Canis lupus familiaris: one gene and its partners. The protein of the gene in region 1 binds, or shares a complex with, the protein of each later gene. Links are inferred from orthologs where the notes say so. Each region holds a gene or a part of one and is shown in the gene's direction. Other genes may lie near its edges.

Evidence for each region. The genes of interacting proteins can lie anywhere in the genome.
Region 2: SNRPD1 (region 1) and PRPF6 share a complex: the UniProt entries of both Homo sapiens proteins name them as parts of the U4/U6-U5 tri-snRNP complex. The link is inferred for Canis lupus familiaris from reciprocal best matches to the Homo sapiens genes SNRPD1 and PRPF6.
Region 3: SNRPD1 (region 1) and CWC15 share a complex: the UniProt entries of both Homo sapiens proteins name them as parts of the minor spliceosome. The link is inferred for Canis lupus familiaris from reciprocal best matches to the Homo sapiens genes SNRPD1 and CWC15.
Region 4: SNRPD1 (region 1) and RBMX2 share a complex: the UniProt entries of both Homo sapiens proteins name them as parts of the minor spliceosome. The link is inferred for Canis lupus familiaris from reciprocal best matches to the Homo sapiens genes SNRPD1 and RBMX2.

Annotation. Positions count from the first base shown.
Region 1 is NC_049228.1:66,472,932-66,477,234, reverse strand, and holds the start of SNRPD1 (small nuclear ribonucleoprotein Sm D1), read left to right. Parts: upstream 1-1,408; 5' UTR 1,409-1,525; coding exon 1,526-1,539; intron 1,540-4,303. UniProt on the Homo sapiens protein: Plays a role in pre-mRNA splicing as a core component of the spliceosomal U1, U2, U4 and U5 small nuclear ribonucleoproteins (snRNPs), the building blocks of the spliceosome.
Region 2 is NC_049245.1:48,323,919-48,327,486, forward strand, and holds part of PRPF6 (pre-mRNA-processing factor 6), read left to right. Parts: intron 1-306; coding exon 307-483; intron 484-885; coding exon 886-1,019; intron 1,020-1,783; coding exon 1,784-1,875; intron 1,876-3,568. UniProt on the Homo sapiens protein: Involved in pre-mRNA splicing as component of the U4/U6-U5 tri-snRNP complex, one of the building blocks of the spliceosome.
Region 3 is NC_049242.1:6,122,861-6,126,465, forward strand, and holds part of CWC15 (spliceosome-associated protein CWC15 homolog), read left to right. Parts: intron 1-3,478; coding exon 3,479-3,597; intron 3,598-3,605. UniProt on the Homo sapiens protein: Involved in pre-mRNA splicing as component of the spliceosome. Component of the PRP19-CDC5L complex that forms an integral part of the spliceosome and is required for activating pre-mRNA splicing.
Region 4 is NC_049260.1:102,438,343-102,441,947, forward strand, and holds part of RBMX2 (RNA-binding motif protein, X-linked 2), read left to right. Parts: intron 1-1,524; coding exon 1,525-1,654; intron 1,655-3,237; coding exon 3,238-3,415; intron 3,416-3,605. UniProt on the Homo sapiens protein: Involved in pre-mRNA splicing as component of the activated spliceosome. As a component of the minor spliceosome, involved in the splicing of U12-type introns in pre-mRNAs.

The DNA of each region.
Region 1 (4,303 bases):
TTTTTAGATTTATTTATTTATTCATAGAGATGCAGAGGAAGAGAGAGAGGCAGAGACACAGGCAGAGGGAGAAGCAGGCTCCATGCAGGGAGCCCGACGTGGGACTCAATCCCGGGTCTCCAGGATCGCGCCCTGGGCTGCAGGCGGCGCTAAACCGCTGCGCCACCGGGGCTGCCCAGAAGGAGTGAAATTCTTGAGAAAAATGAAAGATGGGAGCCAGACTACAATGAAGAGGAACTTGCCTTGGAAAGGGGCAATGATACATCTACCTTTCTAACTGGAAGAAAGTTCTAAAAGGATGGCTTCCGGTCTTCTCGAAAGAGGAAATATTAGCAGAGAGTGATCTTAGGAAGACACTGTAAAAGGTTTCAGAGGGAGAGTACAGGGAAGGTATGAAATAGTTTGTGAGCTTATTAGAGACAAGAGCTCTCAACAATGTAGGTGCCATTCTGAGGTTTGTGACCAAATTTTTTTTAAGATGTTATTTATTTAGGGAATCCCTGGGTAGCTCAGCGGTTTAGCGCCTGCCTTCGGCCCAGGGTGTGATCCTGGAGACCCGGGATTGAGTCCCACGTCGGGCTCCCTGCATGGAGCCTGCTTCTCCCTCTGCCTGTGTCTCTGCCCCCCTCTCTCTCTCTGTTTCATAAATAAATAAAATCTTTAAAGAAAAAGATTTTAGGGATCCCTGGGTGGCGCAGCGGTTTGGCGCCTGCCTTTGGCCCAGGGCGCGATCCTGGAGACCCGGGATCGAATCCCACGTCGGGCTCCCGGTGCATGGAGCCTGCTTCTCCCTCTGCCTGTGTCTCTACCTCTGTCTCTATCTCTGTGTGACTATCATAAATAAATAAAAATTAAAAAAAAAAAGATTTCATTTATTTATTCATGAGAGATACACAGAGAGAGGCAGGGACACAGGCAGAGGGAGAAGCAGGCTCCATGCAGGGGAGCCTCATGCAAGACTCCATCCCAGGACCCTGGGATCACGACCTGAGCCAAAGGCAGACACTCAACCACTGAGCCACCCAGGTGCCCCTGTGACTAGAATTTAAAGTAAAAATAATAAGCTAAACTGTGTGATTTTCTTCAGGTACATTCCCGGTGTTGGAGCTGAATTCGCATAATTTTTTGGGCTTTGTCAGAACTACATTTCCTTCGCGAGTGTATTTACTGCCCCGTAACACAGGACTCTGAGCCCGCGGCCCGCGGCCCGGCCTACTAATTGGATCTGAGCTCCCCAAATCCCCGCCCTTACTGGAATTTTCCTCCTGGACCGGCTCTCAAAGCGCTCAGCAGGCGCAAGGCACACCTCCAGCCGCCAGGGGCCGCCGTGAGGTTGGGCGCGGCCGGAAGGGAGTGCGGCTCCGGGGGCCTCGGCGCTTCCGCCTCGCGTTCTCAGCGTTCCTCGCGCCCTTTACGTCCGAGCCCGAGGAGTAGGCGTTTCCGGCCATTCATACTCCTAGTTTTTCGGGCCTTGGTAGTCCGGTTCTGTACATTAACGGGCTGAAAGAGCGACGGCGCCGCCAGGATGAAGCTCGTGAGGTGAGGGGGTAGCCCGGCGGGGTGGGGGCTGTGACGATTTGGGCGGCGAGCGGGAGGCCGCGCTGCCCCTTTGCGGGAGGCGGGAAAGCCGCGTGCGCGCGCGGCCTGCTAACGGCCTCCGGCGCCCGCCGCTCCCGCCCCAGCTTGGCCGCGCCGTCGCGGGCGCTGCCGCCGGGGCTTCAGACTCGTTGGCGCGCGGCCCCCGCGTGTCTTCAGGCTAGTGGACGTGAAGGCCTGGCCATTTCTTCCCCCCTAGTGTCTTAGAGGCCTGCAAGGCGGCGGCGCCAGGCTTACAGGCTTCTGTTTGCGGTTGGTAGAAGACGTTCGTTCCCTTAGAACTCGTACTCTAGTCTAGATGATTTTTCTGGCCGGTCTCAGCCCTCAGGACCCGCAAAGACGACTAAATATACGCTCCCGGAGAACGTGGGAGACCTAAGGAAAATTGTACGCGTTGCATTAAGTTAACGAGCTTTTATTTATTTATTTTTTTTTTAAAGATTTATTTATTTATTCATTAGAGACACACACAGAGAGGCAGAGGGAGAGGCAGGCTCCATGCAGGGAGCCCGACGTGGGACTCGATCCTGGGTCCCGGGATCACGACCTGAGCCAAAGGCAGCTGCCCAGCCGCTGAGCCACCCAGACGTCCCGTTAAGCAGCTTTTAGAATGTACTTAGAAGCTGCAGGGGTTCATCAGGAAATGACGAAACCCATTTCCGAAATGTTTTAAATCAGGATTGGACTTCTGGTTTTTTGGTCTTTCCTTTTCCTTTTCCCTTTCCCTTTTCCCATTTCTTTTCTTTTCTTTTCTTTTCGACTCCTTACAGTTAAGATTACCCAACTCCCATTTCCCTTCAAAATAGGACTTTAGGGATCCCTGGGTGGCTCAGCGGTTTAGCGCCACTTTCGGCCCAGGGAATGATCCTGGAGACCCAGGATCGAGTCCTACGTCGGGCTCCCAGCATGGAGCCTGCTTCTCCCTCTGCCTGTGTCTATGCCTTTCTCTCTCCCTGTGTCTCTCATGAATGAATGAATGAATGAATAAATAAATAAATAAATAAATAAATAAATAAATAAAATCTTTAAAATAAAAAAAAAGAAAACAAAATAGGACTTTAATTCAGGAAGAATCTCCCAACGTCTGGCAGAGTCACTTTACGTATTTGTGGCTGATTAGCAGATGATCACTATTCTCTTGTGTTTAAACTTCATTGGTTAGTTGAGCCTATTGGTTTATGATTTGAGTAATTCATTCTAAACTATCTGCAGATAAGGTTTTGGTGTTTTTCCTTGAGGCAGGGAGCCTGGAACATAGAGGAGATTTCTGATTAAATTAGTTATAAATGTAGCTAGTCTTTTGTCTGAATCAAGATTAGTCTTATTGCGATCAATCAATTATTGGGCACCTATTACACTAGGCACAGGCAGTGGATTTTGTTTTTTTAAGGTGTTCTTTGAACTATTTTGCGAAGACAGACAAATAGACAATTTCTAGTGTGAATGAAATAACGTATAAAACCCTCAATATGTATTCGGAGTTCTTAAGGAAGGCATTTAAGGTTAATTTTTAGTCGAACTGTAACTTTGGAGAAAAACACCCCAGAATTTAAAGTATATTTTCACAATTTCTCAATCCCTACCTATTTGAATCTACTTATAGTTTTGTGTCACACTCTTTAGAATCCGTTTATCTCATTTAAAGAAACTGCATGTTGTGACACAATTTTCCTGAAAATTTTAAAGGCTGTACTGAACCCTATTCTTTGTTTAGACTGTAGAAATAAAATTTCTTCTTACTGGTGAATATGTTTTGTTCCAAGAAAATGAGTATTTGTCTAACTGCTTTGCATTTTTGGTTGACTTATTTCTGTACAGTGGTTGATGGCACTATCATCCTTACTGCCACTCTAACCAAAAACCTGGGAGTTTACTTTGACATCTTTCTTAATAATCTCATAAAATTGCCAGGTTTTCACAGTTTTTACCTACCTCATAGAAGTATCTCTCATTATCCAATTTTCTTTAAAAAAATTTTTTTTGTTTATTTATTCTTGAGAGACAGAGAGAGAGGCAGAGAAACAGGCTTCATGCAGAGAGCCTGATGCCAGACTCGATCCCTGTTCTCCAGGATCACGCCCCAGGCTGAAGGCAGGCACTAAACCGCGGAGCCACCCAGGGATCCCCAACATTATCCAGTTTTCTTTGGTTTTTGAATTCAGTTAGTGTGGATTTGGATCCTGAAGGATACTATGCAAGCGGTATGTTTTTGGGTGCTATGAAGGATATTATCTGGATATTTAAGTTTCAGTAAGAACGAATTCAAAGGGAAGGATTCATCGGAAAGAATTCAAATCTGTTTGATTTCTGAGCTGGGATAACTCTTTTCTGCCAAGATACCTTTGCTGTCATTCATTCCAGTGGCACCACTGAGTCATAAAAGCTTTCTTTTATTTCCACCCAAGGTTTTTAATTTTACTTCTTGAGGTGACTATCTCATGCAATGAAATACAATGTACATTTGCCAGTTTTGAAAAATTTACACATCTGTATAACCCAAACCCCTGTTGAGATGTGGAATATGGAACATTACCGAAACCTCAAGCCCTTCCTAGTCAGTCTCTGTTCTCATACCCCCAGTGCAATCAATTTCTTCTATCGTAGTTTAGTTTTGCTTGCAGTAGAATTTCATATAATGTAGAATCATGCAGTATGCATTTTTTTTGTGTAAAATTTCTTTTATGCAGCATATTTTTGAGATTCTTCC
Region 2 (3,568 bases), on another chromosome or scaffold:
GGGAAGCGTGAGGTGCCACTAAGGCCCCAGTACTCTAGGGCTGTTGGTTCATCCTTGGCTTTGAGATGTGTTTCTGCATTTAGACCCCCTGCTTTCTGCCAAAGGATGTGAAACACCCTACAGAAGTTCCTGTGTGGGCAGGAACTTACCCAGTAGGGCAAGTGACCTGTCAGGGGAGCTGTGGTGTGAAACCCGTATCGTGAAGGTGCCATCTGGCTGGAGCCAGTGCTAGAGGCGGTCCTGCCGTCGGGACGTCTCAGGGGGCGGGGGTGCCCGGGGCTGTTGGATGGCGTGTCTGCCTCACAGGTGTTCATGAAGTCTGTGAAGCTGGAGTGGGTGCTGGGGAACATCGCAGCTGCTCAGGAGCTGTGCGAGGAGGCGCTGAGGCACTATGAGGACTTCCCTAAGCTGTGGATGATGAAGGGACAGATTGAGGAGCAGGAGGAGCTGATGGAGAGGGCTCGGGAAGCCTACAACCAGGGGGTGAGCTCAGCTGGTTCCCGGGCGGGAATGAGAGGCCCGGTGGGCAGTGACTTGCTTAGACCCCAGCTGGTAGTGGTCCCCTCGCTCAGGCCTGCACCTGCCGTCTGCAGAGCTGTGTGCACTGCACTCAGTGAGGCCTGGGTTACAGGACCCCTAACAGGGCCGCTGTGTACGCACCCCACGTGCATGCACGCGCAGCACAGCCAGGTAGTGAGAACACACGCACCCTGTGTGCACTTGTTCACTGCATTGCCACACACATAAACCCCCACCCCACGCTCACGGGTAGGACTCTGTGGACACGAGCATCCCTGACTCCCCCAGCCTGAGGGGCCGGCCACAGCCATCACAGCTCCTCCAACACCAGCCGAGCCCTCTCTTACTTGTCTCTGTTGCTTGCAGTTGAAGAAATGTCCCCACTCCACCCCTCTGTGGCTTTTGCTTTCTCGGCTGGAGGAGAAGGTTGGGCAGCTGACCCGAGCTCGGGCCATTCTGGAAAAGTCTCGCCTGAAGAACCCAAAGAACCCCGGCCTGTGGTGAGTCCTGGTGGACCCTGCTCACCCCTCCAGTGGGCTGTCTTCCCGCTGTTGCGCATGTGGGGCCATTCGTGCAGCAGCATTTCCAGCCCAGGCTCCATGGCAAGGGTGGCAGCTGCTGGCCATGAGGAAGCACAGTTGCCTTGGGAGGGTTCGTCCTGGACACTCGTGGGCCCGTAGTTAGTTGCACGCAGTTTAATTTGTGCTCTGGTAGAAGGTGACTGGGGAGCCGGGAGCTAACACCGGGGGGTTGAGTATGGGTGCAGCCAAGAAAGGGCTTCCCAGAAGGGGTGGCTTTTAGATGAGGCTTTAAGGGATGAGCAGGAGGTTGTCAGGTGAGGCTGGCCTCCTGTCCGTAGTAGAGAGCTTGCAGGGCTGTGCCACGGAGGGCTCATGGCGTCAGGGCTCAGCGTGGTGGTTGCCAAAGGAGACCCGGGAGCATGGGTAGGTCCAGGATGCTGCGGATATGCTTCACTGTCCCAGCAGCACTAGCATGCCAGCCTGTGCCAGCCTGTCCTTGTCCTACCTGTATTTACTCGCACCCGTGTGATGCCGGGGTCCCAGGCCTCAGCTGTGGTGGCAGCTGCCTCTGGTCCTCACGGTGGGCGGGCTCCAGTGCCTTGCTTCTCCAGTAGATGAGCTCTGCTTGGCAGAGCAGGGAGCTCCAGCCGCGGTGGCTTCCCAGGAATTCCGGGAACGTAGCTAGGCTTGTCCCGGGGCTTCCGTGCGTGGGTGCTGGACCCGCCCTGTGGGCCCTTCCTCAGGTTGGAGTCTGTGCGACTGGAGTACCGTGCAGGGCTGAAGAACATCGCCAACACGCTCATGGCCAAGGCACTGCAGGAGTGCCCCAACTCCGGTAAGTGGCTTCCTGCCTCCCCACATCCGGCAGGCAGTGGCATTTCCTGAGGGAGAGGGTCTCAGGAATCACGCATGCCGGTAACGTGCTTTGTCTGTCAGAGCTTCAGCTGCACTTGGTCTCAGGCATTTGCACTGCGTCTCTACTCCTGGCGTGAGGAGTTTGACTTTGTTCTCTGGTGTGCCCCCGTTACTTTTTCTTCTGAAACTTAACTTCTGGTATCTTACCTACATCTAAACACGTGTGTAGGGGCGCCCGGGGGGGCTCAGCGGTTGAGTATCTGCCTTGGTGCTCAGTCCGTGGCCCTGGGGTCCCGGGATCGAGTCCTGCGTCGGGCTCCCCACAGGGAGGCTGCTTCTCCCTCTGCCTGTGTCTCTGCCTCTCTCTCTGCGTCTCTCAGGAATAAATAAAATCAATCAATCAATCAATCAATCAAATCTAGTTTAAACATATGTGCAGAACGAACATATTTGGAGTTTAATAAACAAAAAAGGATATTAAACATCACCTATAGGTCACCCAGCAGGCTCAGCGGGTGGAGCGTCTGACTCGTCATCTCTGGGTTGTGAATTAGAGCCCTATGCTGGGTGTGGAGATTACTCAAAAATAAAATCTAGGGCAGCCCCGGTGGCCCAGCCGTTTAGTGCTGCCTTCGGCCCAGGGTGTGATCCTGGAGACTGGGCATTGAGCCCCGTCAGGCTCCCTGCATGGAGCCTGCTTCTCCCTCTGCCTGTGTCTCTCATGAATAAATAAAATCTTTTTAAAAATTGCAATCAATCAATCAATAAATCAATAACTAAATAAATAAATAAAATCTTGACACCCCCCAAAAAGTCTTGTGTAAACCTACTCCTGAGAAACTGTTAGTTTTAGCTTACTTGTATTATTACAGCCTGTCCCTGCACACAACTGAAGTGCTACTATGTGTTTAGTGTTGTGTCTTGTTTTAAAGCTGAAAGGGGGGATCCCTGGGTGGCGCAGTGGTTTAGCGCCTGCCTTTGGCCCAGGGCGCGATCCTGGAGACCCGGGATCGAGTCCCACGTCAGGCTCCCGGTGCATGGAGTCTGCTTCTCCCTCTGCCTGTGTCTCTGCCTCTCTCTCTTTCTCTGTGACTATCATAAATAAAAAAAAAAAAAAAAAAAAAAATTAAAAAAAGAAAAATATGTTTAAAAAAAAAAAAAAATAAAGCTGAAAGGGTTGTTTTGTTTAAGATGTTACTTATTATTTATTTGAGACCGAGAACACGAGTGTGGGGAGGGTTGGAGGCAGAGGGAGAAGGAGGGTCTCCACTGAGCAGGGAGCCTGACCCGGGATTGATCCCAGAATCCCCGGACCACGACCTGAGCCGAGGACAAATGCTTCACCAGCTGAGCCACCCAGATGCCCTTAGAACTGAAAGTTTTGTGAGAATTTTCCATCATCATCAAATCTTTAGGAATGTATATTTTTTAGTGGCTTCATAGAACGCACCCGTGGATGTGCTAGAAGTATGCCACTCACCTGTCGGCCAGTTTGAATCTTTACTGGCGTTTCTGATTGTTTTGTTGTAATAAATCCTTGCGTGTGGAATTACAGCGTTGGTGGGAATGAATCTTATAGGTTTGGGGTTCTTGCAACCCAGTCACCGCTGGAAAGTCGTCTGGCCTGTGCCGTCAGGGCTGCTGTGGGGCAGACACATGGGAGGTCATGGCCG
Region 3 (3,605 bases), on another chromosome or scaffold:
AAGTAGAGGTTCATTAGCCAATGCTAAAGGGGTTTGGACTTTGTCTTATTCTTTTTTCTTTTTTTTTTTAAGATATTTATTTATTCATGAGAGAGGCAGAGACATAGGTAGAGGGAGAAGCAGGCTCCCTGCAGGAAGCCTGATACAAGACTCGATCCCAGGACCCCAAGATCACGACCTGAGTGGAAGGTAGACAGCCCCTGAGCCACCGAGGTGCCCCTGGACTCTGTCTTGAAGGCCATGAAGAGCTAGTTGATTTTAGCAGGAGACAAGATTTGATATGCATTTTATTTTTTTATTATGAAATATTTCAGTAACATAGAAAAATATAAATAATAAATTTAATAGTCATCTACTTGGCTATGCATTTTAGAAGGATAACCCTGGCAGAAGTATAGAGGATTGGGAAAACTGATTGAGGAAGCTGTTCCAATAATCCTCATATGCAATTAAGATAATTTTGCATAATAGAATTGGAATTGAGAGAAGTAAATAGATGCTGAGAGAGTTGTCAAGGAGGTAAAATTGACCAGATAAAGTGACTGGTTAGCTATGGCAACAAAGATGACCCTCAGTTCCTGGGTAGATGTTGTTGACATTAACTAATACAGGGGATGGCAGAAGGATGCACATGTTTAGGTGGAGAGAAAAGAGATGATGAGCTCTGGAACGTGTTGAATTTGACACATTATGAGATACTTAGATGGAGATGTCTGTCTCCACTTTCAAACAGAACAGCTCAGCTTTTTTTTTATGAGCTTCTGTGTAAATTTTCATTTGAACCAAGAATTACTCTGTTTAAAGAGGGGGGAAAGACTGACATGGGTTCATGTGAGGAATCCAGAGAAGTAGAAGATTGCTGGAATTCAAATTGGAAGAATATTTTATTTATTTATTTTTCAAAGAATTTATTTGTCCATTCATGAGAGAAACAGAGAGAGAGGCAGAAACACAGGCAGAGGGAGAAGCAGGCTCCACGCAGAGAGCCCGATGCGGGACTCCATCCTAGGTCTCCAGGATCACACCCTGGGCTGACCCGGCGCCAAACCGCTGAGCCACCCAGGCTGCCCAAGAAGAATATTTTAAATACAATTTCCATCAAAGTTTGGCATTGGATAGCGTGATTCCCATAATAGCTTATAATTGTCATATTTAATTTTTAAAAATCAAAGAATTATAAGAACTTTCCTGATAGTAGATATTACTTGCCCACCACTAGAGGGCAGTTGTATTCCATATTCTTTTGACTTGCCTAACAGCTCTGGATACATAGAGACAAGAAATATAGGTGCATTTGGTTGACCCTTAAAAAGGATAAATATTTTAGACAGAAGGTCTTGGAATTTTGTAAGATTCCTCTACTCTCTTTGTACAAAAATATATTGGTGTTCCTAGGGGTTGAAGGACAGTTTTACTTTGGTTTCTGTTTCCCTGGCTGGTTTTCTAGCGGCTGATTTTTGAAGTGTCCCAATATAACATTTTCAAACCAATTAGCCTGTGTCAGGGGCTAGGAAGCTTTCTGTAAAGGGGGCCAGATGGTAAATATTTCAGGATATTTCTAGCTTGCAGACCATGCAATCTCTAGTGTGGTTCTTTAGTTCTGCTCACTGAAGTGTGGAAGCAACTATAGACAATGCAGAAATGAATGAGTTTACTGTGTTCCACTAAAATTTTGTTAACAACAATGGGGTGGTTTGGATTTCATCTGCAAGCTGATTATAGCCTGTGTTTGTGAACCATAATGTTTCTGGGACTTGAATATGGAAAGAGTTGGCACCTTTTTTTCCCAGTGGTTTATGTGGCAGCCAGCCAGGACTCTAAAGGAAGTAATATTCCAAATATAAAATGGCCAGAACTTTATTATATCACATACATTATTATAAGATGGATACGTTGTATGTTTGAGCTCTTATTTTTTTAGAATCTCAGAGAAATGTCTTTTCACTTTCAATATCAATATAATTTGCAAAAAAATACATTGTTTTTAGAAAGCTATCTGTTCTTAATCTGTGATGGAACACATGTGCCTGATTTTGTTTGCTTAAGGTCTGAGTAGTGACCTAAAGGAATTTACCTGTTTATTTCCCTGATTATTGCATCTTCTCACTTTCCAGTCATTTGGCCTCTTAAAAATGAAATCTGTTGTTCACATTTGGATATTAAAATGAAACATCATTAACCTGTATGGAAAATTTTGAACTTTCTTAGGCTTTGTTTTTTTTCTTTAAGATTTACTTATTTGAGAGAGTGTGTGTGTGAGCAGGGGATGGAGAGAATCCCAAGCAGATTTCCCTCTGAGGGTGGGGCCTGATGCAGGGCTAGATTTCACTGCCCTGAGATCATGACCTGAGCTGAAATCAAGAGTCAGATGCTTAACCAACTTAGCTACCCAGATGCCCCTGTTAGGTTCGTTTTAAATTGGAAGTCCCTGGGGATGCATGGGTGGCTCAGTCAGGTAAGTATCTACCTTCAACTCCAGTCATGAGGCTAGAGTCCTGGGATCAAGCCCCATGTCAGGCTCCTGGCTCAGCGAGAAGCCTGCTTCTCCCTCTCCCTGCTGCTTTGCACACATGCTCTCTCTCTCAAATAAATAAAATCTTTAAAAAAAAATAAATTGAAGGTCTCTTTTTCCTTGATCTATTAAGTCATCAGTTTTCCCCTTCCTAAAATACAATAAAGTGGGATTTATTTTTGGTTTAAGAGAGCATGAACAGGTAGATCTAGCAGTTGCTATGGCTAAGAATTGTAGGCATTTTATGTTTCTAATTCTAAGAATGAAACTGAGGCTGATTTGAGTTTAAAGAAATTAATGCTAAATTAAAAGTAAAGAAAGACAAGCTCATAACTGATGAAGGATGAGAGGTATGAAAATGGAAAGTTAGTAACAAATCATAAGAACAAAATGGATAAACGTGGGGTAGATTAGTAGAAATGCATGTTAACTGAATATAATATTTTACATGATAGTTTTAGCTACTTATGGGCTAATAATAACTTATCACTAGTCCTGGAAGTGCAAATTTACACTGTTAATAATTCAAAATAAAATTATTTTTAATCATAGTTCTATATAGCCCATCTTTAAAAATCAAAGTAATAGCTTTGCTAAATGTGTTTCTTTGATGTTTAACATACCCTTAAATGACTAGAATGTATTATTGATGGACTCTTAAAATAAGCAATTAATTTTGGATGTACTTCAAGAAAGAAAACATTTAAATAGGCATTCATAGAATTTCAGAGTCAGACTAATGAATGTAGACAAGCATGAACTATTTATTATAAGGCCAAATTATTTTGGTAAGTGAAACTTTTCTGGTATTTCTTATATCTTAAAAAACAAAACAATAAACAACCTACCTTGATGCTTATTCCTTCTCCATCATAAAATCCTAACAATCTTTTAAAATTTGAGTTATGAAAGAAGATTGACCCCAGAATTAATGTAAGTAAATGAGTCCTCCTCTGTCATTGACAGGAACAAGAACAGAAAGCTGAAGAAGAAAGAATACGTATGGAAAACATTTTGAGTGGAAACCCTCTCCTTAATCTCACTGGTCCATCCCAGCCACAGGCCAACTTCAAAGTTAAAAGAAGGTACTTTA
Region 4 (3,605 bases), on another chromosome or scaffold:
CAAGATATCTGGCCCAGATGTATGTGTATGATTGTGTTATTAAGTATCCACCAATTCTTGTTTTATTTTTATGACTCTACCTTTTAATTTATGAATCTTTAACTTATCTGGAATTTAACTTTGTATAAGGAATAAGGTAGATTTTTTTTCTATTTTCTATTTAATTTCTGCTTTTATCTTTATTAACTCCCATCTGCTTTCCTTAGATTTATTTTCTTTTATATTCATTCTGCCTTTTTATTTTATTTTTAAATATTTTATTTATTTAATGAGCGAGCGAGAGAGCGATATCTTGAGTAGAGGGGAAGGGCAGAGGGAGAAACGGACTCCCTGCAGAGCTGGGAGCCCAACACAGGACTTGATCCCAGGAGCCTGGGATCATGAGCTGAGCTGAAGGCAAATGCTTGACTGACTGAGTCACCTATGTGCCTCCTATTCTACCTTTTTAACAGTAAAATTCTTTAAGGTTGCAGATTTTCCCGAGCGTAGTTTTAGCTGCATCTTGTAAGTTTTGGTATATATTCTCATTTGTGTTATTTTTTAAATAGTCTACCATTGATTTTTTTTTCTTTATTTCAATTTCTCTTTCATCCAGTTGTTAGGAGAATAGGCTTCAAGTTCTAGCTTGTAGGGTATTTTTTATTTAAAATATTATTTCCAGCTGTATAGCATTGTGATTGGAGAACATGTTCTGTTTTTGGAGGTGATTGAAGTTTATTCTATAGTCCATTTTAATACATGTTTCATGGATTATTGAAATGGTACTATTTTTGTAAGATTCAGATATATATATCCACTAGTTTGACATTAATATTTAACAACATAATTGTTATATTATAGTTTATATTAATGTTATAATTATATATTGATATTAATTCCTCTGACCTTATTTTTGTCAGCTTTATGTGTTATAAACTTAAAGTGGTATGCTAAAATATAACTTTTGTTATTAGTTTCTCTTGGAATTTCTAAGAGTTTCTTAAGTTAAAATTTTTGACTTGTGAACTTATGTATAAAGTTTCATGACATATTTTTGTAATATATTAGGACCTTTTTAACAATTTTTTTTTAAATTTTTATTTATTTATGATAGTCACAGAGAGAGAGAGAGAGGCAGAGACAAGGCAGAGGGAGAAGCAGGCTCCATGCACCGGGAGCCTGACGTGGGACTCGATCCCGGGTCTCCAGGATCATGCCCTGGGCCAAAGGCAGGCGCCAAACCGCTGCGCCACCCAGGGATCCTATTAGGACCTTTTTAAGTGTAAAAGAGCTCTCTTAGTCCTGCTTAAGGGGAACTATTTTTTTTTTTTGGCCTTGAATTCATCTTCGATCTTAATATTACCACTCATTTTGTAATTGGGTGTTCCTGCTCTGTCCTTGTCTAATTTTTATTTTTAACTTTATGTCATCTTTTCCTAGATGTATCTCTTGTATAGATTATATTATTTGAATTGTTTTGTCATTCAATCTGAAAGTTTTTGCATTTTAAATCAATGGTGTCTTACTCTTTTATAAAATAAATAGATATGGGGAGATTGTTAACATTAATCTGGTGCGGGACAAGAAGACTGGGAAATCCAAAGGATTCTGTTTCCTTTGCTATGAAGACCAGAGGAGCACAATTTTGGCTGTTGACAATTTTAATGGAATCAAGGTGAGTGTGTTCACTAAGCAGGATCTGGCTGGACTTTTCCTGTATGTAAGAGTTCGATTTAATTTCCCACCTGATTGCCCCAAGTTCAAGGACAGTACTGGTCACCTGGATGTGTTGAGGGTTGTAGAGGTGTGGGGACATACTGACCAGGAAATGATCCCAGGAAATAATTTCATTGGCTTATGACCCTGCTGACACTTGTTCCTTTTCCTCATGTTCATCTTCCCAGGAACATAGGTATCATGTCCCTCACCCCCAACCAAGCCCCTGGTTTCTCACCTTTCCATTCTCACACCCTACTCTCATCTCTGATGTATTGGGCAGTAAAAAGACTAGCAAATACTGCTCTTCCATGCTATGCTGTGTCAGAGGATTTGGCGCTCTCTTATGGCTTCATCCTCTAAGACATAGCTCTGTGTGTCTGTCCTATGTCTCCACTGACTTAGCATTACTGGGCCTTGGAAATTCTCTAGATGAAGTCTGATGACAAATTCTACAAAAGTAACTCATTCTGAAGTTTTCCCTTGTCTGTTCCCTCTCAGAACACTCTTGGCCAGAGAAGGTGGTAGACAAGTCTGGCTTGTCTATGCTCTCCCTGGTTCCTCTGCTTATTTAGGAAAAGCACTGCAGTTAGATAAGCATTTTTTATAGGTTTGGGGGTGACTTTGGACTTGGAGAATTTGTCACTGATTGCAGCAGTATGGAACAGCTGAAAATCTCCATGAAAGGGGGATTTTCTAAAATGTTTTCAAAAGGGGAATAGGAAAGATGACCTTTAAGTTCAGGCTTAAAGGTAAGAATGAAACTCTGTTCTTGTATAGGAACAATAAAAGCCAGACATAAGCTTTTGGATGATTTTTTCCTATAGAATAGGTCTGTATCTGCCTGACTATTTTTAAGTGAGGGGCTAATTTTTTGTTGTTCACCCAGAGAGTTGTGATCCACAGCAAAAATAAGTGTGAGACAGTTGTTCCAGTATGGTGGGGGTAGAGCAAGGCGTGAGGGCTTAGGAAAACAAATTCCTTCCCCTTTCCCAAATATTGGTCTGCCTTGACCTCATCCTAATTGCTGTATCAAGAAAACAGCTGTAGTGCTGCACTCGCTTCAGGAGTTCTTTCTAACTGCCAGGCCATGGTATGTTTTACTGCAAATTAATGTGATTGAGGGTAATTCATTGTTTATGCATGTAAATTCTTAGTTTTCCCTGCTGCTTGTGCTTTGGGGCAGTACTGCTGAGCATTTTTTCATTTAATTGCATATGTAGAACCTGAAGGTTATTGTGTGGCACCCTGGGGTAAACTGAGGAGGCTGCCTGGTAGAGTTGCCTCAGGGACTCCAGCTGCCTACCTGATTGCCCCAGGGAGGGGCTGGGCAGATTATTATCTAGGTATATGTGCTGTGACATACCAGTTGGGCAGGTCTGGCTTAGATATTTCCCCAGAAATAGAATTAGCAGGAAGGTAAAGGGTGTAGTTTGAACCATGGCTTTCTAGGGTGTGGTTTGAACCATGGCTTTCTGCAGCTGGGTTCAAATAGTTCAGAAGTAGGGCCCTCTCTGCTGAAGCATTGCCTGTCTGTCTTAGATCAAAGGAAGAACTATCCGAGTGGATCATGTGTCTAACTATCGGGCTCCTAAGGACTCAGAAGAAATGGATGATGTGACCAAAGAGCTCCAAGAGAAGGGCTGTGGGGCTCACACCCCCTCCGTGAGTTCATCCGAGGGTTCCGAAGATGACAAACCCCCAAAAAAATACAAAAAAGGTAAAGCACTAAGACCTGAGAGAAGATTCTGGGTAGTCTTAGTGTTTGCTCCTCCTAGTATTCACTGAGAATTGGTAATCAGTTATTAGGTGTGAAAAGGAAGGGTGTGGGGAACCGTATAGTAATTGGGAAAGGAGAGGTATCAGTGGAAGACTAATATCATGGGCTGAATTCTGTTTCCCAGTTCATA